4 linked regions of the Struthio camelus genome follow. The protein of the gene in region 1 interacts with the protein of each later gene in a biochemical or structural test. Links are inferred from orthologs where the notes say so. Each region holds a gene or a part of one and is shown in the gene's direction. Other genes may lie near its edges.

The links.
Region 2: the proteins of alpha-1-syntrophin-like (region 1) and ABCC4 form a complex in vitro, tested with the Homo sapiens proteins (2 studies listed by BioGRID and IntAct, with this or other methods). The link is inferred for Struthio camelus from reciprocal best matches to the Homo sapiens genes SNTA1 and ABCC4.
Region 3: the proteins of alpha-1-syntrophin-like (region 1) and GDA interact in a test that uses a peptide from one of them, tested with the Homo sapiens proteins (2 studies listed by BioGRID and IntAct). The link is inferred for Struthio camelus from reciprocal best matches to the Homo sapiens genes SNTA1 and GDA.
Region 4: the proteins of alpha-1-syntrophin-like (region 1) and sodium channel protein type 5 subunit alpha interact in a test that uses a peptide from one of them, tested with the Homo sapiens proteins (2 studies listed by BioGRID and IntAct). The link is inferred for Struthio camelus from reciprocal best matches to the Homo sapiens genes SNTA1 and SCN5A.

Annotation. Positions count from the first base shown.
Region 1 is NC_090959.1:4,022,437-4,029,713, forward strand, and holds the start of alpha-1-syntrophin-like, read left to right. Parts: upstream 1-4,158; 5' UTR 4,159-4,190; coding exon 4,191-4,464; intron 4,465-7,277. UniProt on the Homo sapiens protein: Adapter protein that binds to and probably organizes the subcellular localization of a variety of membrane proteins. May link various receptors to the actin cytoskeleton and the extracellular matrix via the dystrophin glycoprotein complex.
Region 2 is NC_090942.1:166,326,335-166,333,741, forward strand, and holds the start of ABCC4 (ATP-binding cassette sub-family C member 4), read left to right. Parts: upstream 1-4,317; 5' UTR 4,318-4,424; coding exon 4,425-4,498; intron 4,499-7,407. UniProt on the Homo sapiens protein: ATP-dependent transporter of the ATP-binding cassette (ABC) family that actively extrudes physiological compounds and xenobiotics from cells.
Region 3 is NC_090982.1:26,799,383-26,806,798, forward strand, and holds the start of GDA (guanine deaminase), read left to right. Parts: upstream 1-4,336; 5' UTR 4,337-4,487; coding exon 4,488-4,610; intron 4,611-7,416. UniProt on the Homo sapiens protein: Catalyzes the hydrolytic deamination of guanine, producing xanthine and ammonia.
Region 4 is NC_090943.1:7,057,653-7,064,840, forward strand, and holds the start of sodium channel protein type 5 subunit alpha, read left to right. Parts: upstream 1-4,053; 5' UTR 4,054-4,122; intron 4,123-7,188. UniProt on the Homo sapiens protein: Pore-forming subunit of Nav1.5, a voltage-gated sodium (Nav) channel that directly mediates the depolarizing phase of action potentials in excitable membranes.

The DNA of each region.
Region 1 (7,277 bases):
AAACACACATGCAGCCGTGCCAGCAGAGCAGCATCTTTGCATCCAGCCTGCAGCCGATGCTGACCTGCCTGGAAGCATGCGACTCACTCCTGTGTGCCAGGCAGCCCAGATTTGGCCCCCCCGGCCCCTGGCCCAGAGCCAAGGCATTAGTCAATCAAACTCGTGGCCGTTGGTCCTTCTTGCAGCAGGACATTGCGGCTAATTCTCTCAATGCCTCACAGTATATCAAAAAAAAGGTGCAGCCTGGGACCCTTCAGGGCACTGGGTGCATCTCCCATAGCTCACCACAGGCCTGGGACACAAAGGGGGTCCCTAAAAATGTGGGAGTCTCCTGCGTGAGAAAGGATGGGCTTCAGAGCATGCCTGGGGGAGCGGGCGTGCAGGAAGGTAGTCCCAAAAGTGTGAACACCCCGCAGAGCATCCCGGCATGTCCGTCTTCCCTGTACTGCAGCACCACTCACCTGACCCCAGCCACGCTGAGGAGACACCAAACGATTTGAGTCTTCGGAGATCAAAGCCTAGACCCCGAACGCTGTGTCCATCTACCTGCTGATCCCTCTTGATAGCCTGCTGACCTACCCAATGCCCAAGCTGGGCCTCCAGAGTTAGGACCCCCATGATGGGTCCTCCCATATCATTTCCTCAGGCCCCTTGAAGAACAGGGGGCCCCTGGTCGGGGAGACACAGTGTAAAAACGTTGAATCCTTGCAGAAAGCCCGGCCACGCAGCAATAGCTGGGCAGAAGGGAAGGGAGGACCCTCCTCCTCGCGCTCACCAATCTGTCACGTTTTCCTCCTGCGGCACCGTGTCTGCACATCTGCCCACTTCTAGGGCAGGTGAACCCAGGCTATATATAGTACTGACTGCTTGTGGTCATATGAAAAAATCCCAAGTCCTTTTTTGCAAAAAGCAAAAGCAAAGGGAGCTCCGGATCCAAGCTTCTGCCACAAATCGTGTAGGATCTACAAACAGCTTTAGGAGTGGCAGTTTTTATCTCCTTTGGGTCTCCAGTTCTGAGCTGCCCCTCAGGACATGCATTTAGGGCCCTTTTTGGTCCTGATTTGCATTAGAAGAAACCAGCATCTGAAATACTTAGATCACTGTCCCATCAATAAGTACCTGATATAATTGCCAAAGGAATACTAAATCGCTGAAAAAAGAGAGAGGGAGTCCTCTGATCATGTGTAGCAGAAGGTGTCCGTATGATCATCTTTCTACCATAATAGCAACGGCTTTAGGAGTCTCCTGAAGGAAAGATCCAGCCCTGAGTGCAGCTGGGCCAGCAGGTCCCCTGTCTGCAGCCACCGTGACGCTCGGTGGGCGATTTGTGGGTGTCATGAGTCCTTCTCCTCTGGCGATTTGTGGGTGTCATGAGTCCTTCTCCTCTGGCGCTGACGTCTGCACGTGCTCAGTGCTGACAAAGCTGTTCTGCATTCAGGCTGGAGAAAGATTTCCTGATAGGGGAGGGTATGGCACACGTTTCTGCAAACTCAAGGCTCCTGCAGCTGAGGGCAGGGCAGGAACCTGTGTAACTGAGAGGACTTTATTAAAATGTCATTACTGAAGGGGAAGTAAATGATCCTTTTATTCAGGCAAAACTGCTGCTGGGAGAGGAGTGGCACGGGGCTGGGGCTGCCTAAGTGCCTGCATGTTAGTCTGGCTGTGTCTGTTGGGGGGCAGTTGCTGTGTGGTAGGTGAAGTCCCACCTGGCCACAGACTTCATCCGTCCTAGCAGCAGGGATGGAGAAGGACAGTGATTTTCCCTCCATGTGGCACTGACAGGATCCAGATTGTCTCCTTGCATGGAGGACATGCTCAAGCGTCGCATCCGTGCTGCCAGGCAGACACAGAGCTGAGAAAGCAAAGAAAACGACCCCAATGTTGCAATTATGCAACACTAAGAGCAGTATTTACAGTTTCCTCCGTCGCTTCAAATGGGAACGATGGCCTTAAACAATCACCTATGCTGGAAATAACAAGAGCAGTGCTGGGAAGGAAAAAAAAAAAAATCAGACAAACTGCTGATTGCAGCTGACTGTCTGGCAAATAAAGTGAGTGCTTGGAGCACTGATGGCACAGGGAAAAAGAGCCTTGAGGACAAAAGGACAAAATTCCCCTCTGCTGTAAACAAATTGTGCTACATGGACAGCCAGAGCGGGGCTTGTGTGGCCGAACGGTACAACACAGAGGACGTGATCATAAGCAAATACCTTTGGGTGGGTGACACGGTCCCGTAAAAGCACCTCCTGACGCAAAGGGGAACCTTTACAGCTAGCAGAGCTGTTATGCAAAACGAAAAGTCACTTAAGCCAAACTCCGGACCTTTTATGAGAAAGAAAACTGGAATATTTGAAATGTTTGTTTTCTATGGAAATAACCTTCAGGGTTTCCTCTGCTGCAACCTCGAGAAATTCCACCACTTCTGCACAGGAGGGGAGCAGAGCGGAGGGAGCGGGTTTTCCCCGACGCTCGTGGCTGACCCACAGGATGGGCCGCAGCCCCAGCACCGAGAGGGCAAGGGCTGCGCTGAGCAACGCGCCCGCAGCCTCTCCCGCCTCACGCGCAGCTGGCGGCCAGGAGCAGCGCCCCTTAGTCCCCCACTACACCCACTTCCTCTGTACCCTCTCCAACCTCCTTAAAAGACCATTACATTATTTTAAGCCTCTGTATTTTGTAGCAAAGAGAGCTCAGGGAGCTAGGAAGCCCCAATGCTTGGAGACATCTGGAGCTGCACAAAGCATTAGGAGAAGGGAGTGCGGGGGGGGGGGGCGTGGACCAATAGGTGTTTTCTAATTGCTGCCACCAGGTTACAGAAAATGAAACAAAGTATCGTTCCTATTTTCAAGGACCAGGACAAGCAAGGAAAAAGGAACAGAGACTTCTTTGGATGTCCTAACACCTCTCGCCTCCACCTCTTGCCTGTTTGACACTGCGTAGGGGTTGTCAGAAGGTGCCAACCCCAGAGCACCTTGTTGCTCTTGTTACAGAAAGGAGATATGGGGCAACACGTCGCTCACAAGGGTGGATGCAGGCAGCTCCCCTGGCCCAGAGCAGCAATGCAGGGAAAGGCTTCAAGAGCAGGCCCCATTTTGGGGGATGTTGCTCCCCAGAATCACGCCCGGCTCTGATCTGCTGCCCGCCGCCTTCCCCTACCCGCCGCCCTGCGCAGCACTGTAATTTTGATGACACGAAGAAGAATCTGCCCATGCAAACTTTTCTGCCGGGCAAAACATAACTCAGGATAACAGAGTGTCACAAGCTTTTACTCAGAGACATCTCGGCAGTCGTGCTGTGCTCCGCCACCACACTGCTGAGGGATGCACAGACTTCAGGGCTGCAGAGCAGCGTTGTGATCATCTAGTCTGACACGCCACATTATCTAGGCCAAAAAGTGTCATCTAGTGCTTCCAGCATCAGTCCCAAATCTGCTGCTCAAGTTCAACAGAGCGAGAGAGCCAACGGGTGGTTCAGCAGCCCCCGAGAGCCCACCCCTGCTTGGGCCAGATTTTCAAGAGCGCTTTGCGCCTTGCATACAAACTTCCTTGAAAGTAGGTCTTTTGGTACCTGGGAACAAGCCAAAAGTGTTTTAGAAACCTTGCGCATGGTGTGCAAATTGCTGCACGAAGCAGGAGCCTCCAAGGCACCCTCGGCCTCGCCGGGTGGCCGGATCCTGCCACACGTGGGCACCCGTCACTGGGGGCTGCGATTCCCCGGGCGAGGAAGGGCTGAGCCAGCAGCTCCCTGAGCCTGGCTCCTGCCTTGTTTCCTGGGACGTAGAGCAGGATGGGGGCACGCAGCACATCCCGGGCCAGGCAAGGGCGGCGCGGGGGCCTGGCTCCCTCTGCGGCTCCTCGGGGCAGGGTGCAACAAGGGGGACGCCGGGCACGTCCGGGGCCAGGCAGGGAAGCACCCCAGGGGCGCACCGGGAGCGCGGGACTGACCCTCCGCGACGGGACGGGTCGGGGCGCCGCCGTGGCCCGAAGGAGGCGGATCCCGGTGCCGGGGAGGCGGCCGGGGGGCCGGGCTGCGCCGAGCCGAGCCGAGCCCGACGGGGCGGGCAGGGCGGGGCGGGCGGCCCAGGGGCAGGCCGGCGGGGCGGCGCTGTGCCCGGTGCCCCGAGCCGCGCCGAGCGGAGCCGTGCGGCCCGGCGGGGGCGGCGCAGCGGCGGCGGTCCGCGGCATGCGCGGAAGATGGCGGCGGGCAGGCGCGCCCCGCGCACCGGGCTGCTGGAGCTGCGCGGCCCCGGCGGGCAGTGGCTGCGCGTCCTGCTCACCCTGGCCGAGGACGTGCTGACCGTGAGCCCCGCCGCCGGCCCCGGCCCCGGCCCCGGCCCCGGCGAGGCGCCGCCGGCGCAGCTCAACGGCGGCGAGCCCAGCTCCGCCGTGCCCGAGGCGCTGGCCAACATCAGGCGCACGGTGCGCGTCGTCAAGCAGGACGTGGGGGGGCTCGGCATCAGCATCAAAGGTGAGGGCCGGGGGCCGGGGGCCGGGGCAGCGCCCGGCGCGGCGGGTCCTGGCTGCGGCCCCCGACGGCGGCGCGGGAGCCCGGGGCCGCGGCAGCGCCGCGGGGCTGCGCCGCCCTCCCGGGCTCTGCGGGGCGCCCGGCGCGGGGCCGCGGCAGCTGCGGGCGCGGGCGCGCGGCTTCCTGGCAGCCTGGGACGCCTGTGCTCCCCGGGCCGCGGCTGCTCCGCGGGTCTGACCTTCCAAGTCGGAAGCAGAGGTGATGCACCTCGTGGGGGAGCGGAGCGTTTTCAGCGAGGGCTGCGAGACGGGGATTTCGAGGGAAGCGACCTGTTGCCGTCCCCTTCTCAAGACTGGATTCTGCAGCTCGACTCCGCGTTTCCACTGAATGGAAACTATATCCAGGAGCCGAGCTCATCTCTCTGCACTGGGGAGGAACTGGGGTTCTCACGCCTCAGTCAGTCTCTTAACTTACCCCAAAAGGAGATGAGCAAGGGCAAGGTGGGAGGTGTGACAGCTGGAGTACGAAGGGCCTGAAGGATGTTTGCTGCATGCTCTAAGAGCTGGGTTTTAAAGGCAGACGGCTCCTGGAGAGCTCAGTGCACAGAGTGCCGGAGGGAGGCCGGGTGACAGACCAGCTTCTCAGGAGCCCCCAGCCAGGAGCAGGGCTCTGCTCTCCTGTGCTTGGGACACTGGAGGGTGGTGCTCACAGCCCTTTGTTGGTAAGCCAGGACTGGCAGAGCTTCTTCTCCCACTGCGACTTTGCACACGCTGGCACTTTCCTGGTAGGGAAGATGTCTGAAGAAGCAGATGGGACGCATAGGGTACCCATGTTACAGAAAAGCTGCCTCTTTGCATCAAACAGAGGTCTCTGCATGTTTGTCTTGGTTTCCTCAGTGACCCTATGTCTGTTGGGCTGACAAATGTCCCTTTTAAACTGTCGGCAGAATGAAGAAAATGATTGCAACCTTTGTAAGGTCCTTGGGGATCTGCAGACACAGAGTACTTCTTAAGAGCTGGGGCATTAAAACAACACTCTCAAGCTTGAAGATGTCCGGTCTCGGAGGGCTGAGCAGCAGGGAAGCCTTGTTGTTGTAATTCTTGTTTTCCTTTCTGGTGCTCCCCTCCCAAGTTTCTGTGCTCCTTGGTGATTTGCCTGAACTTTAGGCTGAAAACTTCATAGGGCAGGGATTGCATTTCTTTTTGTGTTTATTTTTCATGCAGCTCTGAGCTTGTTAGAAATTCAGTGAAAGAAGGATTAAATAGTCAACCACGGGCAAAGGTCCATCCCTGTGCATGGGTAAGAGTTTGTAATTTAATGTAACAGCAGGCCAGTTTGCATGCATGGTGGTCCATAGGCAGTGGTGGTATGAATCTTACCTTCTGACGTGGCTTCGCCTCTGGTGGCCAGAGAGAATTTAGCCTCAACCTCCTGCTTCCGCTTCAGCTGTACAAGTGCCCAATGTAGGGAGACTTTGCGATGTGGATGTCCGTCTGCTGGGATTGGATCGAAACACCAGCTTGCTTCTCTCATGCTGCTTGCTGTGCCTGCCACCATGGGATGCCTGAGATTGCCAGTGCTTCCTTTTGGGAAGTGTAAAATCCCCTTTGTGATAATCCTTTGGCTGCGAAGTTATCGCTACCTCTGTGACTCTCCTAGGAAAGGAGAAATGTTACTTGGTTCAGTTAAAACTTTATTTTTGCAGTGAAAAAATATGTGAAAAACAAGTGGCAGTAATCCAAAGTGGGAGCTATAAACCATTACAGCTGGTCACAGAGCTCTGAAGGTGACCACCGCTGTTGCAGAGGGAAGGCATTGGTCCTTCTTAACTGGGGTGGTGACACTTTCCCATTAAAAAGTAATAAATTTCTTGTAGTTTAACCTCAGAGTTTACCACAGAAGCGCGTACTGAGCAGAGTGTGAAAACAGCTTAGGTGTTACAGCTCTGCAGAGCAGGAGTGCTCAGATAGGCTGGCCCCAGGAGTCCTGGTCCCAGCCCTCAGGGCAGTTTGTGTTGTCTGAGGACTCTTTACTGCAAAATGCCTGAGTGCCCCAGGGCTGAGGCCACAGAATTGCCTCTTGCTTCTCTCCTTCCAGCCTCAACAGCCTTATATCGCTCTCGGTGGTGGCCCGAGGGTGGGATGGGGCCGGTGCTGTGCAGAGCGGCGTGCAGCCCTAGGGTTGGTGTTGGTGCTGACTCAGCCTGCTCTGGCTGACGCAGGCCTGGCTCCCGTTTCCCTCTTCCTGGGTGAGGGTGCGAGGCAGTAGGCTGTTATGCCAAAGAGACAACGTCTGCATAATACTGAAGAAATGCCTCCCCTTGGTTTCTGGTGCAAACAGCAGCTGTGCTTTGCGCTGTGAGTGGAGGCTTTTTGCAGTGGGCTGCTCTAGGGACGTGGCTGGAGCTCAGGGGCTGATACTGCACCTAGGAGGCCACAGGGACTGCGGTTAGGCCGAGGACGCCGGGGCGGCGGCAGGCTCCCTGGCCTGGCTGCACACATTGGTTGTGTCATGAGCTTGCTGAGACCTGGGCATGGCCCTGCTCCGTGTCCTGGCCCTGTGCAACCCAGGGAGCCTGCCTGGGGCAGCCCCATGCGAGCGGGCTGCCAGAGAGGGCAGGGTGCTCTGCTCTGCTCCTTGCCCTGGGCAGCATCCCCAGCCCTCAGCTATGCGCTGGCGCCAAGTGTGGGTCCCATTGATTTTTGCTGCCCCCCAGGTGAGGTAATGCTGAAGAGCAGGTCTGTTTGCTCCTTGAGACCTGGATGTGTAGAGCTGCCCTGGTTAGGGGCTAAGGGTGAGGGCTAAGTGCCCTGTCT
Region 2 (7,407 bases), on another chromosome or scaffold:
TTAAAAGAACTAAACTATGAAAATTAACAGAAATATTGTGTGTATGTATGTGTGGGTGTGACACGTAGGCAGAAAAATGTGAATGGAAATTAAGAGCTCTTTAGGAAAAATCTTATTGGCCAAAATGACTTGATGTTGCAGTGAAAGATGGAGAGGACTTTGGCCTAAAACCCATATTGATTCAGAAGTGATGATGGTAAGGATGGGGTTCAGTTGCCTAAACGTAGATATCTATTGCCATTTAAAAGGCACTTGAGACATTGGCATGGGACTGGCAGATACAGCACAGAAGCTATGGAAGACCTGAAGCCTTCTGAAGTGGTGGCTAGCAGCCAAGTGGAATATCCTACCATATCTACAGCGGCAGTAGGCACCTACGTTTAGTGTAAACTAGAAACTATGGCATGTAGAAAACTGATACAGGTAGTTAAAAGATACGGGGAGAATAGAGATGGCTAGCAGAGCAACAAGAAGAGAAAGTATCTGAGAAAAAATGCTGCTATTATATACTAATAGCTAGATGGAAACAGCAAACTACTTACAGCTTGATTCTGCACCACTGACATTTCTGTTCTGCAGCTGAACAAGAACAGGCCTATCTATCCGTATTGCAGGAGCATGAGAAACTATTCTTCACTGAGTACGTCAGCGAGACGATGAGTCAGGCCACAGACTGGATAGTGACTAGCTGGGCTCCCAGCCAGCGGACAGCCTGCTTTCTTGCCCATGGCATGGCAGGAAACGGAGCTGTCTAGTTGGTTTGTCACGCAGCATATGGATTGTCTTTCTGCCTGGCTTCGATCAAAAGTTAAACAATGCACTGTGGTAAAGCTTTCACAGTCTGCTACGACAGCTTGTCTTCAGAAAACTACTGCCTCTGAAGTCTTTCAAACAGCTTTGAATCTGATTCTGCCCTTAGTACTGCCTCAGAGATATCATGTAGTGTGCTCATTAAATCGTTTATCCAAACTTTTAAGACACACTCAGGCACGTGTCCTTGTTTTCCAGGTACCTGACTTGAGATGCTGGGGTGTGACTTGCAGAAATTGTTCGCCTCTCAGCCGAAATCAATGGGCGCTTGCCTGATTGTGAAAGGTTACAGTGCTACATTCTCAGAAGTATTAAGCCTTTGGTTCTGATTGCATATTCAGAATCAGTGGCTATATTTTGCCTTAAGATCCACACGCTTCTCTTTACCACTTGAAAGGCAGATAAGCTGCCCAATTATCTCTTAAGGGTTTTGTGAAAAGCAGATGTGTGTGAACGCCTCATACTAGAGTGGTAAGTGCCACAGAAAAGGAATATGAAGAAACTGGTGATTCTGACTGTGTTCAGAACGAGGAGAGAGTACAGCGAAGAGGATTTAAAACCATGCTTTGCACAGAGGCTTGTTTAATGAATATGTCCTTTTTGAATACTGAATAAATACAGAAACTTGTGTTTGTATGTTTATGGAATCCCTTGTGATCGTCCAATTACCATAGCATAATGTATACGCATAAATGGCTTAATTCAAATGACACTCGCTTAATCTGGCCATTGACTAATCTGAGTACTTGGCTTTGCTAGACTGATATCTTTATTACGGATTTATGTAATATTAACTTTCGATTAGGTTGTTTGCATATTTAGTCTTCCATGCCGTGAATATATTGTTACCACAGGAAAATATTCAACGGATAACTAAAAAATCAGCAGTTGCTTTTCGTTTCCCCTAAAATAAAGATGATTAATTTCCTTACTCTGTGCTATCTATTTTCCCTCCTCTCTCCTCTCCATGTGCAGTCTCAGCTTTTCCAGAGCATCTCTGTTACTGTTTCTAACTGGTTCACAATTCTCTATTGCTGCATCAGTTTCCATTGGTTACTTGTACACTTGACAGAGTTACTGATTAATTTGGCTTTCAGGCTTTTCTTTTCCTCTTGAACTTTATTATAATTCTTTGGGCATTGCTAAATCTTTAGTTTTCCCTTCTCCAAACCTTCCTATAGAGTTTTGTTTCAGACATGGGAATCTGACAGCAGTATTTATTATAAAATTATATTTTGTCAATAATTGTCACCGATAATGCTGGGAAAGACGAAATTTACTTCTTGAGGTTTGTTCTTTGCCATTTTCCTACCGTTACAATAATCTTGGAAAAAGTTACTTTCTGATCTTGTGTTCTTAAAAAAAAATTACTTGTTCATGACTAATATTCTGCTTTCTTGTCCAAACAAAGAAATGTTTTGATAATCTTTCCTTGCAAGAATCTGGCTTGATTTTGTTTCAGATTCATGAATAGATGCCAGTTTAAAGATTTACATCTTCCTTTCCTCCACTATTTGACCCAAACTTTATTGAAGTTTTAGGACTTGCATTGGGCTGTCATGCCTTTTATTCTCTTATTCATATCTGTTTAGACAAATTTGCTTCTCAGAAATCTAAACCCAGGTTGCCAGAATTTGTTGACGGACAGACCTTGTCTTCAGATGTTTTGGGAGGTGACTTAAGTTAATTCTTCTGGAATACACAAAGCACTTTTTTGTTAAAGCCTGCCCTTGCAAATCACTGCACCAGTTCCCTAAGTGTATTTCTTTGTTTTAATCCAGACAGATCTATAGGCAGGTGCTGAGAAGTGTACTACCTATCGCTTGCAAAATCCTGTAGTATGCTCAGCCAACGCTTTTTGTTGCCAACTCTCTCACCTCTCTCCCTCGCTATCAACTGATAGCAAACTTACGCTTGATTTACTTGTGTTATGGTTATTATGACATCCTTGCAAGCGTGAAGTGAATCTGTTTCTTGGATGGCACAGTGTAGCCCAGACCTTACCACCCTCTTTTTTCTTCACCGTGTGCCAACTCTATGTACCTATAGTGATAATCAGATACTGGAACTATTTCACCGATAAGCCATTTTAGCAGGAAGAGATAGGGTTGGTTGCTCCTAGGGCGAAAGATGAATAAACAGGAGACTTGCCTTGCAGCTGGCTCAGCTGGAGGGAAAAGGGGTCTGGGAGGCCGCAGAGAAATTAGGGCATGGCAGACACCTACTCTGCCTGGTATTTTTTCACTGAGCTGAATAGTTTTTTGGTTATCCTCAGACACGTGCCTCACCTTTGTATTATCTTAGATTTCTTGCAGTCCCCTCCACTGCTTGCAGGCCCATCCCTTGCGGCAAGCCCCAGTGACAACAGCGGAGAGGAGTACGGCCATCGTCCGCCCTGACAACGATCGCACCCAACTTCTGAGAAGGGCTTCAAGGATTTCTGTGATGCACCTTCTCTTGGAATTAAATAACTACTTTTTTTGTGTGTGTGTCTGTGTGTGTGTGTGTGTGTATGTATTCTGGTTTATTTCTGGGGGTACTTTTTGTACCACCAAACTTTCCTCAACATCATTACACTGGAGCTGCAGATAGCACCGGTTTGCAGACTCAGACCAGCATCCGGCTGCTCTCATGCTGCCCCAGTGCCCTTGTTCTTGTAATTCGGAATATGGACATCCCCCGTGTGTGTGTGTGTGTGTGTGTTTTAATACAAGTCGCTGCAATGTTTAGGAAGGAGAGGTGGAAACGAGTGTTTCTGGCAGGTCAGTCCCACGAGGCTGCAATTGCTCCTCACTAGCGGCTTGTTTCTCCACCTAGTCAGGCCTGCGGGTGCCTTGCTTGGTGCGGTCCGCGCCGAGAGGACAATAACGTTTTCAACCCGCAACAACGTGGCACGGCGGCAGCATTTCACAGACAGCACCGCCGAAGAGATCTTGGAGACGGTACTATCACTCGGCGGCAGCCTGCGACAGCGTGACAAACAGGGCGATGTCCTTAGCTCAGTACAACAAAACAAAACAAACTCTCGCGGCCTTTACAGCCTTTTATTCGAGGGCCACGAGGGCAAAAAAAGTGAACTCGCTTCAGGCACGCACAGGCGACCAACCGCTGAGGGGACAGCGGAGCACCCCCCCTCCCCCCCAAACCCGCCCGGGGCGGCCGCTTCCCCTCAGGCGCGAGGGCTCGGCCCGCGCCCAGGCACCTAACGGCCGCCCAACGGCCGCTCAACGGCGGGAGGGGCAGCGGCTCCTTCAAGGGGCGACAGCGCCTCGCGGGAGGGAGAGGGGAGGCTCCGCTTCCCCCGCGGAGGGACCTCGGCAGCGCCGCGGGGAGGCTCCCCGGCCGTCTCGGAGGGCGGCAGTCGCCTCAGCGCGGCCCTGCGGAACTACCCGTCACGCCGCCGTCTCCGTCTCCGCACAGGGGCGGGCGTCGCGGGGGAGCCGGGCCGGCAGGAGGCGTCCTGCGGCGGGAGAGCGGGAGGGAGGGACGAGGTGGGGGGGTGTCGGCTCTCCCGGAAACAGCGCCGGCCGGCGGCAAAGCGGCGGTGGCTGCCGCGGTGGGAAGTCGGCCGTGGTGCTGCGCCGCCGCTGCCGCCGGGCGGGTTGGCGGGCGGCATGGAAGCGGTGCCCCGTGAAGAGAAGCCCAACCCGCTGCGGGATGCCAACCTCTGCTCCCGGCTCTTCTTCTGGTGAGCGCCCGGCCGAGGGCGAGAGCGGAGGCGGGGGGGGGGGGGGCGGCGGCAGCGCCGCGAGGTGCGGCCTCGGGGCTGCCCGCCGGCGGGGAAGGCGCCGCGCCGGGACTTTGGCGCTGCCGCCTCGCCGCCCCTTGGCTTCCCGCCGGGCTCTGGGGCCGGCGGGGGGATGCTGAGTGCCGGCGCGGGGGGCCCGCCGCCTCCTTTCTCCTTCCCCCCCCCCCCAACTCCGCTTCGGGCTTCCCGCGAGGGTCCGGGCGCCCCGGGGGGGGAAGCGCCGGCGCCTCCCGGCAGTGACTCTGCAAAGGCGGCTCGGCGAAGGCCTGGCGGGTTAACACGTGTCAGCGCCGCCGGCTCGGAGCGCCCCTCGCCCGCAGGTGGCTCCCGGCGACGGAGGCGGGAGCGGCGCCGCCGAGGCGAGGTCTCCTGAGGTCAAAGCTTGCTAACCCGCCGCTTGCGGGGAGCCGCGTCTCCGGCGCGCCGGTACCACCCCGGGAAGCCCCGCTGGGAGCAGGCGGGGGCTGCCAGCGCGGTCCCACGTCTCCTCCCCGCCGCCGCTCTCCCGGGTCTGATACCGCTTCCCCGGGCCGAGGGTGCCCCTGCAGCTCGGCTCGAGCACGTGTTGCATCCCCTCGGCGGGCAGGGAGCCTGCTCCGCGCCGGGGTGCCCGGTGCTGGCAGCGGCTCCGGCACGGCTGCCGCCGGCGGCTCCGCGCCGCTGCTCGCATAACGGGTCGGCGGCAGGTACCGCTCATCTCGAGAGCGCTTGCTGATCTCCCTGTCGGAGTCTTTTTTTTTTTTTTTTTCTTCTCCTCTCTTCTCTCTGAACTGCGTAGTCTGCTTAGGGATTTCCCAGTGTAAGGGCAGTCTTCTGCTTTGACTCTCTGGGGGCCTGAGGTGTCGCAGAGCAAAGGCGGGGAACGGGGCGCTTACGCAAGCATACTCGGAAACCAGTAACTTCTATGCTGGACCAGATGACTACTGTGGCAGCGCAGTTAATGCTTGTTCTGTTACTGTCATTGGCTTTGGCGCAGATGCGCATAATTACTCAAAGCAGGGAGGAATCATGGTCTGGTAGTTTCACTGCATTGAAATACGGTAAGGAAAGAAGACATGCAAGGTGCAAAGGGGGAGTATCAAGCTTGTCCATCTTAGCAGGACCCCTTTGGAAGAGAACAGGTGCAGAGGTACAGGTACCTACACGTACTTACCCTGCTTCACCTTCGCCTGAACTCCGGGTGCATGTGCCGGAGTACTTGGTGGAGAAGGAAGAGAAGGCATGGTGCGTGAGGCCCCTGTGTTTGGAAGCCTCTTAAACACAACACCAAAGTCTCCGATCCTAAAAGCAGCTGTGAGCAGTTGCAGGGATCCTTTCTAGAAGGCGGAGGGATTTTAAAGGCCCTGACCGATTTTAGCTAAACGCATTTTCGGTCAAGGAAATGTCCTCGGAGGTACTGTGTGCAAAAAACAGGTTGCATGCTTTTGTTGAGCTGCCTGTGTTCAGCAGTTTGACTTGTAATTTCTTTTTTTAGCGCTGGGGTGCCCATGTTAGGAACAACTTTGCTAGGAAATCCAGGCAGAATGGGATAAACTACGGGTTGGCCATTTAGCAGTGCAGCACTGCTTTTGCTCTGTTCACCTTTTCTTGCAGGGGTCTTGTGCTGCCACGAGTAGTTATGCCAAAAGCAGTTCTGCTAGAGGTGAAAAAGGAAGTGTGCAGTGTTCGTGACTTTTTTTTTTTTTTTTGACTGTTCACATCATCCATCTTATTGCTCTCTGGGTGTTGCAGTGGATTGTTCAGCAGCACCCACAAAAGCCATTTAAAATTTCTCAAGTTTTAGGAAAGCACTTAAAAGGTTCCTTTTACCCCATACACATTTGTAGGTTCTTATTCTACAAGGGGGCAAGAGGAAGAGGAGCCCTGTGTTTGTGAGATGATAGGCCTCCTGAAATTTCAGAGATTGACTGGAGCATTTTACTTTACAGTTTCTTACATTTCTTAGTCTTCAGATAGTAGGGCTCCACTGTAGGGCTTGTGCTCTGAAGTAAGTTTTTAATAGCATGTGAAAAGTTTTACTGAATTTAAAAAAAAAAAAAGTTCTGTATGCTATCTGCCAGGCTTTCACGGGCTTCAGCAACATTATGCCACCCTTCTACCTATGCTGCATGTGATCATCAAATACCAGTATATTCTAGCTATTTGCTAGTCAAAAAGCTTTAGTATTTTTTCAGTGAAAAATTCAGCTGAAGCGATGTCTGCAGTGGCTTAAATTGAGGATCTAGGAGATGTCATCTTTCTGCAAGTTAATAATTTTTTACATAAAACTGAGAAAGGATTAAAATGAACCTCACTAGCTATAAATCTACCCTTAAAGTTAGCTTTAGGAATCGTTCACTGCTTCTGCGAAGCACACAGCTTTTGACAACTGTGTAAGCATTTCTTGGCACTGCTTCATTGGAAGTGCTGTTTCACACAGGATGTTTAGAGATGTTTTCAGTTGGAGAACTGGAAAAACAGTGTTTGAGGAGGGCTGTCCGGGGAGTAGCGGCAACCACTGACATGTGGTTGCTCCAGCAGGCCTGCTGTGCTGCCCAAACCCTAGCTGCTGGCTGTTAGCCCTACTTTCTGTCCTTATTAGCAGCATTGCAGGCAGCTGGGCAGGTGTCCCCCCTCCCCTCCCTTTTTTTTCCCCTTCTATTTATTTTTTTTCCAAAAATCCAATCTTGCTGTTGTAAGGAGGCTCCCCCCCCCCCCCCCCTTTGTTGCCAGTGGTGTAGAAGTAGAGCTGAAATTACTATGTGTTGCAGAAATGGGATCAAACTCACAGGGGAAAAGTAGTCGTGTTTTCATTGAATTATAAAACTGAGGTAATGAGTGTGTAGACTGAAGACACATTCTTCTCCCAT
Region 3 (7,416 bases), on another chromosome or scaffold:
AGACAATGCTGGATTAGCCTTAGCTCTCAATTTATTCTGCTTTTCTCTGTGAGTAGATATAAACCATGCTGCCCTTTATTTCATTCTCTGAACAGCCCCAAGTATTTCCTACCTACTTAGTGCTTTCATTTTCAGATAAAAATCAATCAATAAAAGAGAAATCAATTTTATTTTGTTTCTCCATTGGCTTAGTTGCTATGTTACAAAATATTCACAAGGAATACTTTGGTAATCAAATGCAAATAACAACATTAACTTCTATATCAGATCAATAATTTTTGTACCCTGAGGCTCAGGCTCTGCTGGCATGTATTTTATCAGTGTCCTGAAGATAGGAGCTTCCACTGGGTGGCATGTACCTATTAATTGTTTTTTGAAAGCAGGGAATTAAAAATAGGTTCCTCTTTCTTACATTTCTCACGTATTACTAGATGAACAGAGTTGCTCCAAAACTTTGAAAACAAGGCATTGAATTCTTGTTTTGTAAAGTCCACCAAATGAAAGAAAATATCAAAAAGTGGAACAGTTAATGAGAATTTAGGGTGACATTCTAATCCTGCTAAAATCTATTCTGATGCTCTAAAAATACTTTGACTAAATTTTCTATTGTTGCTCAGCTTCAGAACTCAGACTAGACCTGATTTTCACTTAACTTCTAAAACTGAGTCAAAAGACAACGAAATAGACTTTTTTTTTTGAACAGCAGTGGGTCAAAGTATGGTGATTATTTACTTTAATATGAACATGTTAATCCAGGTGCGATGAGTTCAAAGAGCTGCTAAAGCTGGGATTTGTTTTAAATTGCTAGTCAAACAAAACCTTCTTAAGGAATTTGTAAGAAGCTATATCTTTCACTGTAGACCATTAACCATTTAGCAAAATTAAGAGCAGGCTATTACAATTACTTTTTAAGTTAAATAGTAACCAACAATCATCATAAACCATTCAATTTCTACCCCAGACAAACCAAGCACACCTTTGAGCAGTCCTCTTATAGTATCATGGAAGATTGACCCATTTTATCACAGCTGGTTGAGGTCTCATCTGCAGCCATCCCAATATTTTGGGTATGCAGCTGTGAGCTTCACAAGCTAATAACGAAAAAAGGTCTGCGAGGAGGGAAAGGGTTTTAACTGTTCTTTCATCAGCCCTCTTAAGAGTCTCACATGCTCTCTCACAGCTGGGAAAAGCAGAAGAGAAGTCTAGTTCTTTTAACAGTTCAATTATATGTCTTCATAGTGTTTGGAATCCACTTATAGCAATAGATTGACAATTAACAGTTTTTATTATTCATATTTCTTCCAAAAAGTTCTAAAGGAAGAAACTTTCACTGTTTCTGGATTTTTTTCTCATGCATAAAATACTGGTTGGATTAAATCTCACTGAAACTGTTGGAATAAGTATCAATCTTTCTGTAAGGCAGTTGAAAGAAATCCCTGAGATTCCTAATGGAAGAACATGGTTGACATAGAAATTCTCAGAGGCAGCACGCATCCCCCCACCACCTCCAAATGCAAATCAAGGGCTTCTCAGGAATAACGATTTAGCAAAAGTGTACGAGTTCTGCTGAATATTGCTTTGGCCAGCAGGCCACGTGGACCTGGGCAGCAGCCAGGACAAGACCTCAGGATGAGAAGCAAAGAGCCACACGTAGCCTGATGTGAGTGTGAATGAAGCGCAGATACCTAGGGCAGCATACTGCGGAAGACTGCATACCCTGGGGCCTCGCTACCTCCTTTGCCCTGGGAGCTGAGGCTAGTTGCTGCTGCAAGGGCAGAGCCAAGCTGTGTAAAGGGCAGGAGCTATTGCTGGGGAAAGTTGTCCTCGCTCCTGTGTCGGGAGGAAGAGTGATAAGTTTACCTCTCCAGGGCTCTCTGTTTGACTGTTTTGCAGCTCCACTCCCTCTACCTTTTTGCATTTAATGGCTAAAGCAGCCTAGCTCTCGCTTCTTATTCTTAAGGCAGCCAAATACCATTTCAGCTGCCTGGGATCACAACTTGGTATATGGATAAAAAGTGGTTTCAGCTGCTGCTTTGATAAACACAGTAGTGTTACTCTGAGAAATGTCCTTATAAGAAAGCTTTCGTAAATGCTAACTTAAAAGACACTTGGTGCTATTTTTTAGGAAACTATCCAGTGTTGTTGTATTACTCTGTTGTTCAAAGAAGCATGAAGTATTACAATCTTGTAAGCAAGCTGAATTGCAAGAAAGACCCTCATGCAATTTCTTCTCCGAACTAGATTAACCTGTAAGACCAATTTGTGTTTTATTGGCTTCTCATGTCAAAGAGATTAGAAATACAGTGAAAAATTGCAGCTTCTTAAAAAAAAAAAAAACTTATTAGCATCTTCTTGAACTATGAGACCTCTCACAGGAAATGAACAATCTTAGAGTGTGAGAGTCACTTTCACCTATCCATTTTATTCTGGATATTGTTTATGGCCTGACGGAACCACTAGTGAAGTCAAGGTAAGAGCTTTCAGCTGGCTTCAGTAAATCCACTTTTTTTTTTTTTTTAATTTACTTCACGTGAACCTAGAAGTATTCTCATTCAAAGATGGCACAACAAAGGTAGATGAGGTGCACTGAGCAGACTAAAATTACCTTTGTTCTGTGCTTTCCCACTGTGTCTTTGTCTCCTCCCTCCACTTATCTGGAAAGCTTAGAGGAAAGATTATCTCCTGCTATGTTTGTATAGTGTCAGCACAGTGGGATGGGCAAAGGTCTTTTATGATAAACTATGTAATAATAAACTTGGTAATCCAGCTTTGAAAATGGCAGTACCAGAGCCTTGGATGGCAATTTTGTTTACCACTTTTCTATCTGATGAAGCAAGGTGACTTTCAGTGGCAGGACATTCATAGTGTTACCCCTGATTCTGGCTTTCTCACATTAAGAAAAGGGTTTTACTATGTCCCATGAACTCTTATCCAAATATTCTCCCTAGAAATCATCTTAGTGCATGTTCATATATTACGTAAATAACACCTAATTATAAATAATGTATATATATAATATACATTAACTTAAGTTGTTGGAGCAATTCTCTGAGTTAACAAATTTCATTCTTCTCTCCCTTTCGTTTTCCCAGGGCTTCTTTCTCCTTTGCTATAGACCCTCTCCGCTGAATGAAACAGTTGGCTGCTTTCTTCTGGTAGCTGAAGTGCTTCAGCTGGCATCGATTTTTTGCTCCTGTATCCTACTAATGTACAGCATAGGAGCAGAGGACCTAGGAGACAATCTGTGGTAAGAGAGAGATTAAGTACTGAGTACAGCAGAATGGATAGATGGGGCAGGAACTACCATCTACCTGAAACACACCTTTAATATTATAGTATTTTAAGATTAGCTCTATTCTGAAATTGTCCAATAATGTTCCAGGCGCAGGGCAACACCTGCAGTTGCAAGCCTAACCAAAGGAACCCTGTAAATGAAGCTTCTGAAGCTGGTTACAGCCTTTGGTTTGGTTGTAAAGATCAGTCACTGGATATACTAACTACTGTGAGTCATCTTATCGGGTCTGTCATCACTTCCTGGAAAAAGCCAGAGGCGCTCAGAAAGCACCGCTGATGCTGTTTCTGTAGCTGTCAGTCTTCCTAAGAACTCTCTCTTGTGAGCCTGCAGCTCCTTATTTTGTAAATGAAACACACTTATTAAAAACATCTGTTACAGGCTTGTACCTTTGTAAGAAGTCCACGGCAAGCTACCTTGCTCTGGGAAAACACACACAATCCACATTTCTGTGTATTGTGCCATGTTATTAATGTGATAACGTTATCTTTCCTGAGAAGAAAACATGCAAAAGTTCTGCTTTCAAGGGTACTGATTTCCCTTTGGAAGTTGGTTAGTTATTGCTACTTTGGCAACGCGTAGAACTAGACAGAAATGTTTTGTTTCAGTAAAATCACGTGCTTTACAAACAATAAAATTCAAGTCTCGCTTTGTTCCATTTTTGGTGTTTCCTGATGACTTCCAAGCCTGTTTCACTTCCCACTAGGCCAGAAGACATCGGGGCTGCTGGGGGGGCAAAGGGGAAAAACAAACAGGAGAACCAACCAGCCACGGTAAGGGGGAGACCAAACACCCGCGGGGGCTGCGCCAGGGCTCCGCGCCTCTCAGGGCGGCCGGCCTCATCCCGCATGTGCGTCAGCAACAGGAAGCACCGAGTTTGCCCCCTGTCCCCTGCCTGCTGGCGCTATTTGTCTGTTTTGGCAGCAGGACGGGGGTCGCCCGGCCGCCGGGGCAGAGGCCTCGGCGGGGCGGCCGCGGCTGCCGCCACCGCCTCCCCTCAGCGGGCACCCGCCCGGCGGGAGGAGCCGGCCGGCGGCGGGAACCACTCCCCGCGGGGCAAGAAGCTTTGCGGGGGGGAAGGGAAGGGGTGGGGAAATGTTGACAGGTCCAGGAAGCCGCTGTCGGTGCCGAGAGACATCGAGCGGCTGCAGCCCGCTGCGCGGCAGCTGGCAGCCTCCTCAGCGCCGGCGCCGCGATGGGCTCCTCGCAGCACCCGCCGCTGGCCCACGTCTTCAGGGGCACCTTCGTGCACTCGCGCCGCGCCGCGCCCATGGAGATCCTCCACGGCCACCTGCTGGGGGTGGACGAGAGCGGGAAAGTGAGCGGGGGCCGGCGGCGGCGGGGCCGAAAAGGGAGGGCGGGGGGAGCGGGGGCAGCGCCGCCGGCACGGCGGGGCGCCAGCCCGGGGCGGCGGCGGCGGTTTGGGGGGCGGTTGGCCGGGGCTGAGGCGCCCGGGCGAGACCGAAACGTTGGTGCCCGGCGCTCTGCCCAAAAGCGGGCACCCCGGCCGGGAAGCCCCCTTTCAGCCCGCAGCCCGCGTCCTCCGGCGGGTGGGAGGAAGGGGCCGTCCGGTTGGCGTTTGCTGCAGCCCTTGAACCGGGGCACTTCCTGGCTTAAAACACGCGGCGGCTGTAAGGGGTCTCTCGACGGGGCTTGGCGCTTGGTGGGAGTTGAGGGGTGATTGGGGCAGGGAGCCGAGAAGCTGTTCCTGAGGTGCTCTACCTTACTGTCAAAACACATTCTTCGGGCCGTAAGCCTGTCTTTCAGTTTTGCAGATTTTTTTGTTTTTCGTTCTCTGTAATAAATACCAAAGCAGTACAAAAGATTGTAAATAATTGCAGTGTGCCTTCTGTACTCGTATGCTGCCTCCGAAAGCTTCTTCTCCCCCCCCCCCCGCCTTTTTTTTTTCTCTTTATCACAAGAAAAAAAAAAAGCCATGGAGTAAGTCTGTAAAGAATCGTGAAGACCAAGGGTAACAATTTGGCTTGTTAGTGAGTGGTGTGAGCTAAGTTTAAAATGAGCATTGCATTGGTTCTGGTGGGGAAGCTACATCACGCTGGTAACAGTATCACGGTTTCGCAGGGCTCATTGTATAAAGGCAGGTGGCAATTCCCTGGAGACTCAATTTTATATGTGTATATATATATATATATAGAGAGAGAGAGAGAGAGAGCGCAAGTGCAAGCTACCGTCTCTACCCTATACGTAATCAAAATTTCTTTTTTTTCTTTTTGGTGGCTAAACAGCTATGTCAGGCTTCAGTAGCACTTGGAAGATGCATAAAGCACACTTTGAATTTTGGACCCGTTACAGTGTTTGCTTTCACCATCCACACAGGTCAGTGAGGGCCTGTTTCCAAGTGGCTCTTGACTCCGGTGGCACTTGAGGAGTCTGGTACAAAGCATTGCTAAGTCTATGGAAAGCTGTATTTTGATTTATGGGAGGCGAGTGAAACCTTACAAAGCTATATATTGGCTGATTTTTAACTAAAAAACAATGGAGCTGAATGAACAAAGGGTTTGGTTTCTGTAATTCAAGAGCAGGAGGCAGAAACTCACCCGACCCAGCTCTCTCATGGAATTTTCTGGAAAAGAATCACTGCTCTCTGCCCTTGGGAAATTAAGACCTCTACAAGATTTTCTTGGAAAACAGACGCGGTAGTAGGCTGCAGTCAGATGACTGGTGCTCTCAGTCAGCCACTCTCTCCCTTTCTCCCAGTGAACGAGGATTCACTGGATATTCTTTTCTGCATAAACTGGCACGTTCCCACAGAGTAGTTCAGAAAGTTATTTTCCAGAAAAACGTTTGGCCAAAAATAAAATCTCTACCAGAAGGGAGTAACAGGAAGCTTCTTCTGTTTTAATACAAATTCTTGTCATTTTACTGTTCCACCGCAATGAATTGTGGTACCATGTGGTCTATTACTTGTAGCTTTACCTCGTGCAGTACTTCCATTAGCATTACTGAAGAGTTAATGGCACAGGGACTTGATGGGTAGAAAATTGCTTATCTTTATTGTCCAAATATACACCAAAACTATTACTCCCAAAGAACTAAATTTAACTAGACAGGCATCGTTCTGGTGCCTCCTGTTGCTGACTCCATCACGGGGAAATATTGCGTGATTTTTTACGGGGTGAGCAGAGAGCTTTTGTGAACAGGCAGATGCTGTTCCCTAGTTATATGTCCTGGTCTCTCGTCAAAACGGTAGGAGCGTGTAATTAGCGCATGGTAACACTGCACAGTCCAGCATGGGCGTATGTGGCTGATGCAGGCCCCTGACCAAAGTGTTGGTCCTTTGTGCTTTGCCAGTAAGATGAAAAGGCAATTTTAGGAAAGGAAACCTTGTTGTCGGGTATGAGACCAAAGGTATCGGAAGTTAACAAAACCTCGGTTTTATTGAACAGTTGCAATGTGGTACTGTTCTTGAGGAATTGCTTTTAGAAAGAATAGTGTTCTTCAGAGTAAAGAAAATAGAGCCAACTGCAGAGTATGAGTTACCGTTGAAGCACTGGAATAATTAATAGAGTAAAATGTTAAGTAAATGGAACAAAAGCTGCTGCTCTTGAAGGCTGGGGAGGAGCAAGAGTTATGGACGTTAATATTGTTAAGTATTACCAAGCATAGGTGTTTGGCGTAAGCCCGGTAGGATCAGCCTGGTAGGCCCAGTGACACGTGTTGCGCTCAGTTGCAGTTATGGCTGTGCAGATGGAGGTAGCAAGGTACCAGCATCCATGCGATGTTCATTGCTTGCTCCTTTACAGTAGGTTTTTGGGCTGTTCATTTGGCAGGCATGTCTAAATCTGGACTCGTGTTCCAGTTTGGGAAATCAGAGAAGTGATGGACATCATGTCTTTAATAGCAAAATTCCTGAACTTGGTAGCTTCATTAAACGGTGGCAGCAACCCAGTGAGGCCAAAAATAGGACATCCATCATAGTCAGGGACAGAGGAGAGCTACATATTTTTGCTGGCAGCCAATAATTATGAGGTTAGAGAGGGGTGAGTAGGATGAGGGAGCACAGAGAAGGTTGAAGCATTCACTCGTGTTCATTTAGGGGCCTCATGGTCAGACACAACATAAATACAGGCGCTATTAAATCCAAAAAAGGCATCTTCCTTTGG
Region 4 (7,188 bases), on another chromosome or scaffold:
CCTGCTCAGTCAGTATTGTGAGGTCTTTTTACAGTTCTTCACGAGTTTATTTTCATTTTACCACCCCGAATACTTCAACAGTGACAGCAAACTCTGTCACCCCGTTCTCCACCTCCTGTCATGAGCGCTGAAGAAGGCAAGGTGTGGCATGGTTTTGCCGGGACTCTGCTGCTGACCTCCCCCCACCGTGAACATCGACACTGAATTCCTGCCTTTTACCCTCAGTCTTGTAAGCAGTAGTTTTTCCCCGCATGGAGAACCTTAGCAATTTCCCCATGCCAGCTCAGTTTCTGTAAAAGCCACTTCTTCTGTTCATTGGGAACTTTAAATCAAAGCCTAAACTTTACAATTTCAATAACTTGAGAAAAATGCAGCCGAACAAAACCCAGCCTCGCATCTGCTCCTTGAGTCCCGAGGCGCCCTGCCAAGGAGCTGGAGTCGCCGGGCTGCTCCCGCGGCATGGCGGGGAGCAGCAGGTCCGCATGGTGCCTGCCCCTGACCCCTGTCCCCCTCTCCCCTGCGAGGCTGCTCCCTTCCTGCCCTGGCTCCCCTAGTGCCTCTCCTCCCTGCTCTGTCCCTCTGGCCCCGTCCGCTCCCTCTGACCCCAAACCCGGGTGGTTCTCCTCGCTGCCTAGTCCAGCCCCTGCAGGCTGCCCACAGCTCCAGCCCTCCTTCTTCCCCAGCCCTCCTTCCTCCCCTCCCTCTTTCCTCCCCCATCCTTCCCCTGACTCTATCCCTCCATCCACCCGTCCCTCTTTCCTTCCTATCCTTCCTCCTTCCCTGTCCTCTACATCCCTCCTTCCTTCTTCCCAGTCCTTCCCCATCTTCCCCCATGCCTCTTTCCTTCCCACGCCTCTTCCACCCCATTCTTCCCCATCCTCCCTTCCTCCTCCTTTCCCACCCCTCTTTCCTCCCCATCCTTCCTCCCCATCCCTCCTTCCTCCCCATCCTTCTTCCCTATCCTTCCCCATCGCTCCTTTCTCCCCATCCTTCCTGCCTTTTCTTCCTCCCCATCCTTCCCCTATCCTTCCTTCCTCCTCACCTTTTCCCCATTCCTCCTTTCTCCCCATCCTTCTTCCCCATCCTTCCTCCCCATCCTTTCCTCATCTCTCCTTCTTCCCCATCCTTCTTCCCCATCCTTCCCCCATCCCTCCTTCCTCCCCATCCTTTCCTCATCTCTCCTTCTTCCCCATCCCACCCTCCCCCTCATCCTTCCCCCATCCCTCCTTCCCCATCCCTCCTTCCTCCCCATCCTTCCCCATCTCTCCTTCCTCTGCATCCTTCCCCCATCCCTCCTTCCTCCCCATCCTTCTCCCTTTCCTTCCTCCCCATCTCGCTTTCCTTCCCCATCCTTCCTCCTCATTCCTCCTTCCTCCCCATCCTGCTCCCTTTCCTTCCTCCCCATCCCACCTTCCTTCCCCATCCTACCTTCCCCCATCCCTCCTTCCTCCCCATCCTTCCCCATCTCTCCTTCCTCCATATCCTTCCCCCATCCCTCCTTCCTCCCCATCCTTCTCTCTTTCCTTCCTCCAATCTCACCTTCCTTCCCCATCCTTCCTCCCCATCCTTCTCCCTTTCCTTCCTCCCAATCTCACCTTCCTTCCCCATCCTTCCTCCCCATCCTTCCTTCCTCCCCATCCTTCTCCCTTTCCTTCCTCCCTGTCCCTCCTTCCTCCCCATCCTTCTCCCTTTCCTTCCTCTCTATCCCTCCTTCCTCCCCATCCTTCCTTTCTCCCCATCCTTCTCCCTTTCCTTCCTTCCCATCCCACCTTCCTTCCCCATCCTTCCTCCCCATTCCTCCTTCCTCCCCATCATTCCTCCCCATCCTGCCTTCCTCTGCATCCTTCCCCCATCTCTCCTTCCTCCGCATCCTTCCCCCATCTCTCCTTCCTCCCCATCCTTCCCCCATTCCTCCTTCCTCCCTATCCTTCTCCCTTTCCTTCCTTCCCATCCCATCTTCCTTCCCATCCTTCCCCCATCCCTCCTTCCTCCCCATCCTTCTCCCTTTCCTTCCTTCCCATCCCACCTTCCTTCCCATCCTTCCCCCATCCCTCCTTCCTCCCCATCCTTCCCCCATCCCTCCTTCCTCCCCATCCTTCTCCCTTTCCTTCCTTCCCATCCCATCTTCCTTCCCATCCTTCCCCCATCCCTCCTTCCTTCCCATCCTTCTCCCTTTCCTTCCTTCCCATCCCTCCTTCCTCCCCATCCTTCCCCCATCCCTCCTTCCTCCCCATCCTTCTCCCTTTCCTTCCTTCCCATCCCTCCTTCCTCCCCATCCTTCCCCCATCCCTCCTTCCTCCCCATCCTTCTCCCTTTCCTTCCTTCCCATCCCTCCTTCCTCCCCATCCTTCCCCCATCCCTCCTTCCTTCCCATCCTTCCCCCATCCCTCCTTCCTTCCCATCCTTCTCCCTTTCCTTCCTTCCCATCCCTCCTTCCTTCCCATCCTTCCCCCATCCCTCCTTCCTTCCCATCCTTCTCCCTTTCCTTCCTTCCCATCCCATCTTCCTTCCCATCCTTCCCCCATCCCTCCTTCCTCCCCATCCTTCTCCCTTTCCTTCCTTCCCATCCCTCCTTCCTCCCCATCCTTCCCCCATCCCTCCTTCCTTCCCATCCTTCCCCCATCCCTCCTTCCTTCCCATCCTTCTCCCTTTCCTTCCTTCCCATCCCTCCTTCCTCCCCATCCTTCCCCCATCCCTCCTTCCTCCCCATCCTTCTCCCTTTCCTTCCTTCCCATCCCTCCTTCCTCCCCATCCTTCCCCCATCCCTCCTTCCTCCCCATCCTTCTCCCTTTCCTTCCTTCCCATCCCATCTTCCTTCCCATCCTTCCCCCATCCCTCCTTCCTTCCCATCCTTCCCCCATCCCTCCTTCCTTCCCATCCTTCTCCCTTTCCTTCCTTCCCATCCCTCCTTCCTTCCCATCCTTCCCCCATCCCTCCTTCCTTCCCATCCTTCTCCCTTTCCTTCCTTCCCATCCCATCTTCCTTCCCATCCTTCCCCCATCCCTCCTTCCTCCCCATCCTTCTCCCTTTCCTTCCTTCCCATCCCTCCTTCCTCCCCATCCTTCCCCCATCCCTCCTTCCTCCCCATCCTTCTCCCTTTCCTTCCTTCCCATCCCTCCTTCCTCCCCATCCTTCCCCCATCCCTCCTTCCTCCCCATCCTTCTCCCTTTCCTTCCTTCCCATCCCTCCTTCCTCCCCATCCTTCCCCCATCCCTCCTTCCTCCCCATCCTTCTCCCTTTCCTTCCTTCCCATCCCTCCTTCCTCCCCATCCTTCCCCCATCCCTCCTTCCTTCCCATCCTTCTCCCTTTCCTTCCTTCCCATCCCTCCTTCCTCCCCATCCTTCCCCCATCCCTCCTTCCTCCCCATCCTTCTCCCTTTCCTTCCTTCCCATCCCTCCTTCCTCCCCATCCTTCCCCCATCCCTCCTTCCTCCCCATCCTTCTCCCTTTCCTTCCTTCCCATCCCTCCTTCCTCCCCATCCTTCCCCCATCCCTCCTTCCTTCCCATCCTTCTCCCTTTCCTTCCTTCCCATCCCTCCTTCCTCCCCATCCTTCCCCCATCCCTCCTTCCTCCCCATCCTTCTCCCTTTCCTTCCTTCCCATCCCTCCTTCCTCCCCATCCTTCCCCCATCCCAATTTCCTCCCCATCCTTCCCCCATCCCTCCTTCCTCCCCCTCCCTCCTTCCTCCCCGCTCCCCACCCCCTCTCCTCCCCCGGTTCCTCCCCCCGCTCCGCCGCCGCTGGCCGGCAGGGGGCGCCGCGGTGCCGATGCCGGTGCCGGTGCCGGCGGCTGGGCGGGCCGGGCCGGGCCGGGGCGGTGCCGGCGGCGGGGCGGGGCGGGCGGCGGCACCGCCCCGCGCTCCCCCCCCGCCCCGCTCTCCCCCCGCCTGCGCGGGGCTGCGCGGGGCGGCACCGAGCACACGGCGGCGGCACCGCCGAGCCGGGCAGCCTGGGAGCGGCGGCGGCCGGCGGGGAGGGCAGCGGCGCGCCGCCGCGGCGCGGAGCGCACCGAGCACCATGGCCCTGGCCGCGGGGAGTGCTCACGCGGGGACTAAAACTCTGTGGATACAATGAAGTGAATCTGGGACTCTTGGTTTAGCGGGGAAAATTAAATAAACCAATGTAAGTTCCTCTTTTTTGCTTGTTCGCTAATAAAAAGGACGCCACGAAGAAGTCCGGTTCGAAGCGTGCCTGAGGAGGAGGAATTTCCCCTTGCCCTGCTTGGAGACCCAAACTTTCCCCGCTAGCCGGGAGAGCCGGTAGCGCCGCGTCCCGCTCCCCTTCCCCCGCGCCCCTCGCCGGGTGCCGCTTCGGGCCGTCCCGCGTGGGGAGGGTGGCGGGGAGGCTGGCGCGGCAGGTGCGAGAAGCGGCCGGCGGAGCGGCCAGGCTCGCCCCCCGGGGTGCTAAGGCTGAGGTTTGGCTGCTGAGGGGTAACTCTTGCTGCGAGTCGAGCTGGTTTCCCTCGGGCTTCTGCATCTGAAACTGCCGCTGATAATAATAATTAATAATAATAATGATAGTAATAATAATAACAATAGCAACAACACGGAGGATACTCAGCAAATAGTTTGGTGAATGTAATGTGGTAGCAGATGTGTTTGAACGGAAATTTAGTAGCACATTGGGAAGGGAAGAAATTAATTCGGGGGGGTATTTCCATGGTGGCAAGGAAAATTTATCATTCTTCTATAAGACTATTACTGATATTATTTGTTGTAAGAACTGACATAATATATTATGTGTATATGTCGCTCACTTCAAAGGGCTGCCCCTTGGAGGCCCTGCTTTAAATATATGGATTTTTTAACCAGCCCAAATCAAAAACTCTACTTGACTTGTACAAATAAAAGAAAAGCACAGAGAGCTGTGCTGCGCTCTGGCAAGGTGATCATGATTTTATCAAGACAGCCTAGAGGGGAACAGGGACATACTCGGAGCACCGTACGAGATAACGAAATCTGAATTAAAACAAAACTTACGCAACCAGACTGTGACTGCAATGGGAATATTTTTTTTTTTCCCCCTGGGAGATTGGGATGAGGAGGAGGAGGAGGAGATGAGCTTCTAAAAAGCAGAGGTGCACACAGGCGACACACGCACAGCAACAGGTCTCATTTTGCCTGGAAAGGAGGAGTTGAGGTTAGCGGGTGCTTCAGCTGAGCCTTTCCAGCTGTGCCCGGGGCAGGTGCTGACCCCGGAGACGGGTGCCGGGAGCGAACCTGGTGGCCCCCATGTCCCCCACCTCCCGGGGGACCAACAACTCTTCCTGAAAGACCGGTCATAAACACTGCGATTCAAAGAGGATTTGTCAATACTAAAAATAAACAGGCCCGCAGATGTGTCCTGTAGGGTCATGTGCGGTTTCAACACTTTCAGGGCTGCTCTGCTGATTTCCCCATTTTGCGTGTGTGTGTGCCTGTGTCCTGTCCAAGGTGCTGAAGTGCATTTTGCTGTCATTTCCGAGGATTTAAGGGTTTTGCACAGGTGATTGCTGCAGGCTTCCTCTCGTGTTAAAGCGGTGCAGTTTGAGTTGGAGGGTACCTCCTGGGTGGTGCCAAGAGGAAGCAGGGATGTGTTTTCAGACACGTATATTTGATCCGTCCTTTTGGCGTGGGAAAGCAGGCCAGGTGGAGTCGCAGATGGATCCGGCAGATCCTATAAGCTTTTGGTGGCAGAGAATTGAAAAGGTCAGAGCTGCAGGGCAGTGGGGAGTGGATCTCCCTTTGTGCTAATGGGCCAAAAACGTGGTGCATTTGAGGATGTTGCTGCTGTTGGTTTGAGTATGTTGCCTTCAGTGAGACATTAGCTGGTTCCAAAAAAACAGAGGGAAGCTCCATGTCGGGGACGGGATGGGATGAGAATGATACAAATGGGATGGGAGTGATGATTTTGGAAATACTCTTTTCTGGTGTAAGCCTTTTCATATGGTTACCAAAGTTGAACGGGACCTTTAGAAACAGAGGCTACTTAAGAAAAGAGTCTATTTTGGGGGGTAAGTGTCTGAACAAGTGAACAATATAAATGGAAGCCCGTGGTGCAAGTTGTGATATTTTTAGATTTATGCCAAAATATCTGAGTAGTATGTAATTCTTTGTATGAAACGGATCACAGTGTTGCCAGAAATAATCACAGAAGAATATGATACTTAACTTGTACATGATTGGAGATCGGTGTTGTGACATGTGGTTTTTCTCAGTTCTTGATATTAATCTGAAGCTATCCATAATACAGTTTGTACTTCTGTCTGAGACTCTCAAGGGGCTCTGCAACCACAAAGGGTCAAATTCTGATACCCATGTTCGCATGGAGAAGTAGTTTACACTGCAAGGAGTGCTGCAGATTTAAAGCATGCCAAAACTCTGTACAGTATGATAGAGAACTGATATTGTTTCATACCCTCATTTCAGAGGAGGTTAAATCATTTGTCAGAGATCGCAGAGGAATTCAGTTACATCATTGGGTATGTAACCCAAATACTTTGACCATGAAGGGTGTATGTAGACCATGAGGCTTCCTCACTCTGAATGACAGCTTATGGGTACAGTGTTTAAAAGTGTTTCACTGTTGAAAGCGCTGTTTTCCTGACATGTATCATCAGAGATGTCCCTGTGCTCGCTGTGATAGAAAAACACCTGCAGGACCAGCTAACACCTCCCAGGACTTCTGCAGGCCGCAGAAAACCGTGGAGTAGTTGCTGGGTCACAAAAAACTGTGGAGTAGTTGCTATGTTCTTGCTTCAACTGTATGCTCAAAATTATATCTAAAAATGTATTGCTAGGGAATGGAGTCCTGAATGAAACAGGAGATTTAGGAAACATAGCTATTTAAAAAAAAAATCCTGTATATGACATTAGAAGAGGATTGATACCTTATTTTCTTTTCCTTTTCATGAGCATTTTCTCTCTAGTATCTTGAAGGAATGTTCTGCACATGTATGTGAGGAAAGATCATGTGAGGTCGCATGATAAGGCATGTTGGGCTAGTGTTTGGAAATCCTGGTTATGCTTTTCTGAAGGGACAGGTTATCATCTGGTATCACCTTAGATGCCTTCGTATTTGGAAGCTCAGTTTGAAAGATATGAAAGAGACTTGTTGTTTTCAGAAGGTGCATGCTCATTTCTTCCTAAAAATTGCTACCTTGTAAGTTGTCTGCAATCGTCCTCAAGAGTTACTTTGTAAAATTATAGG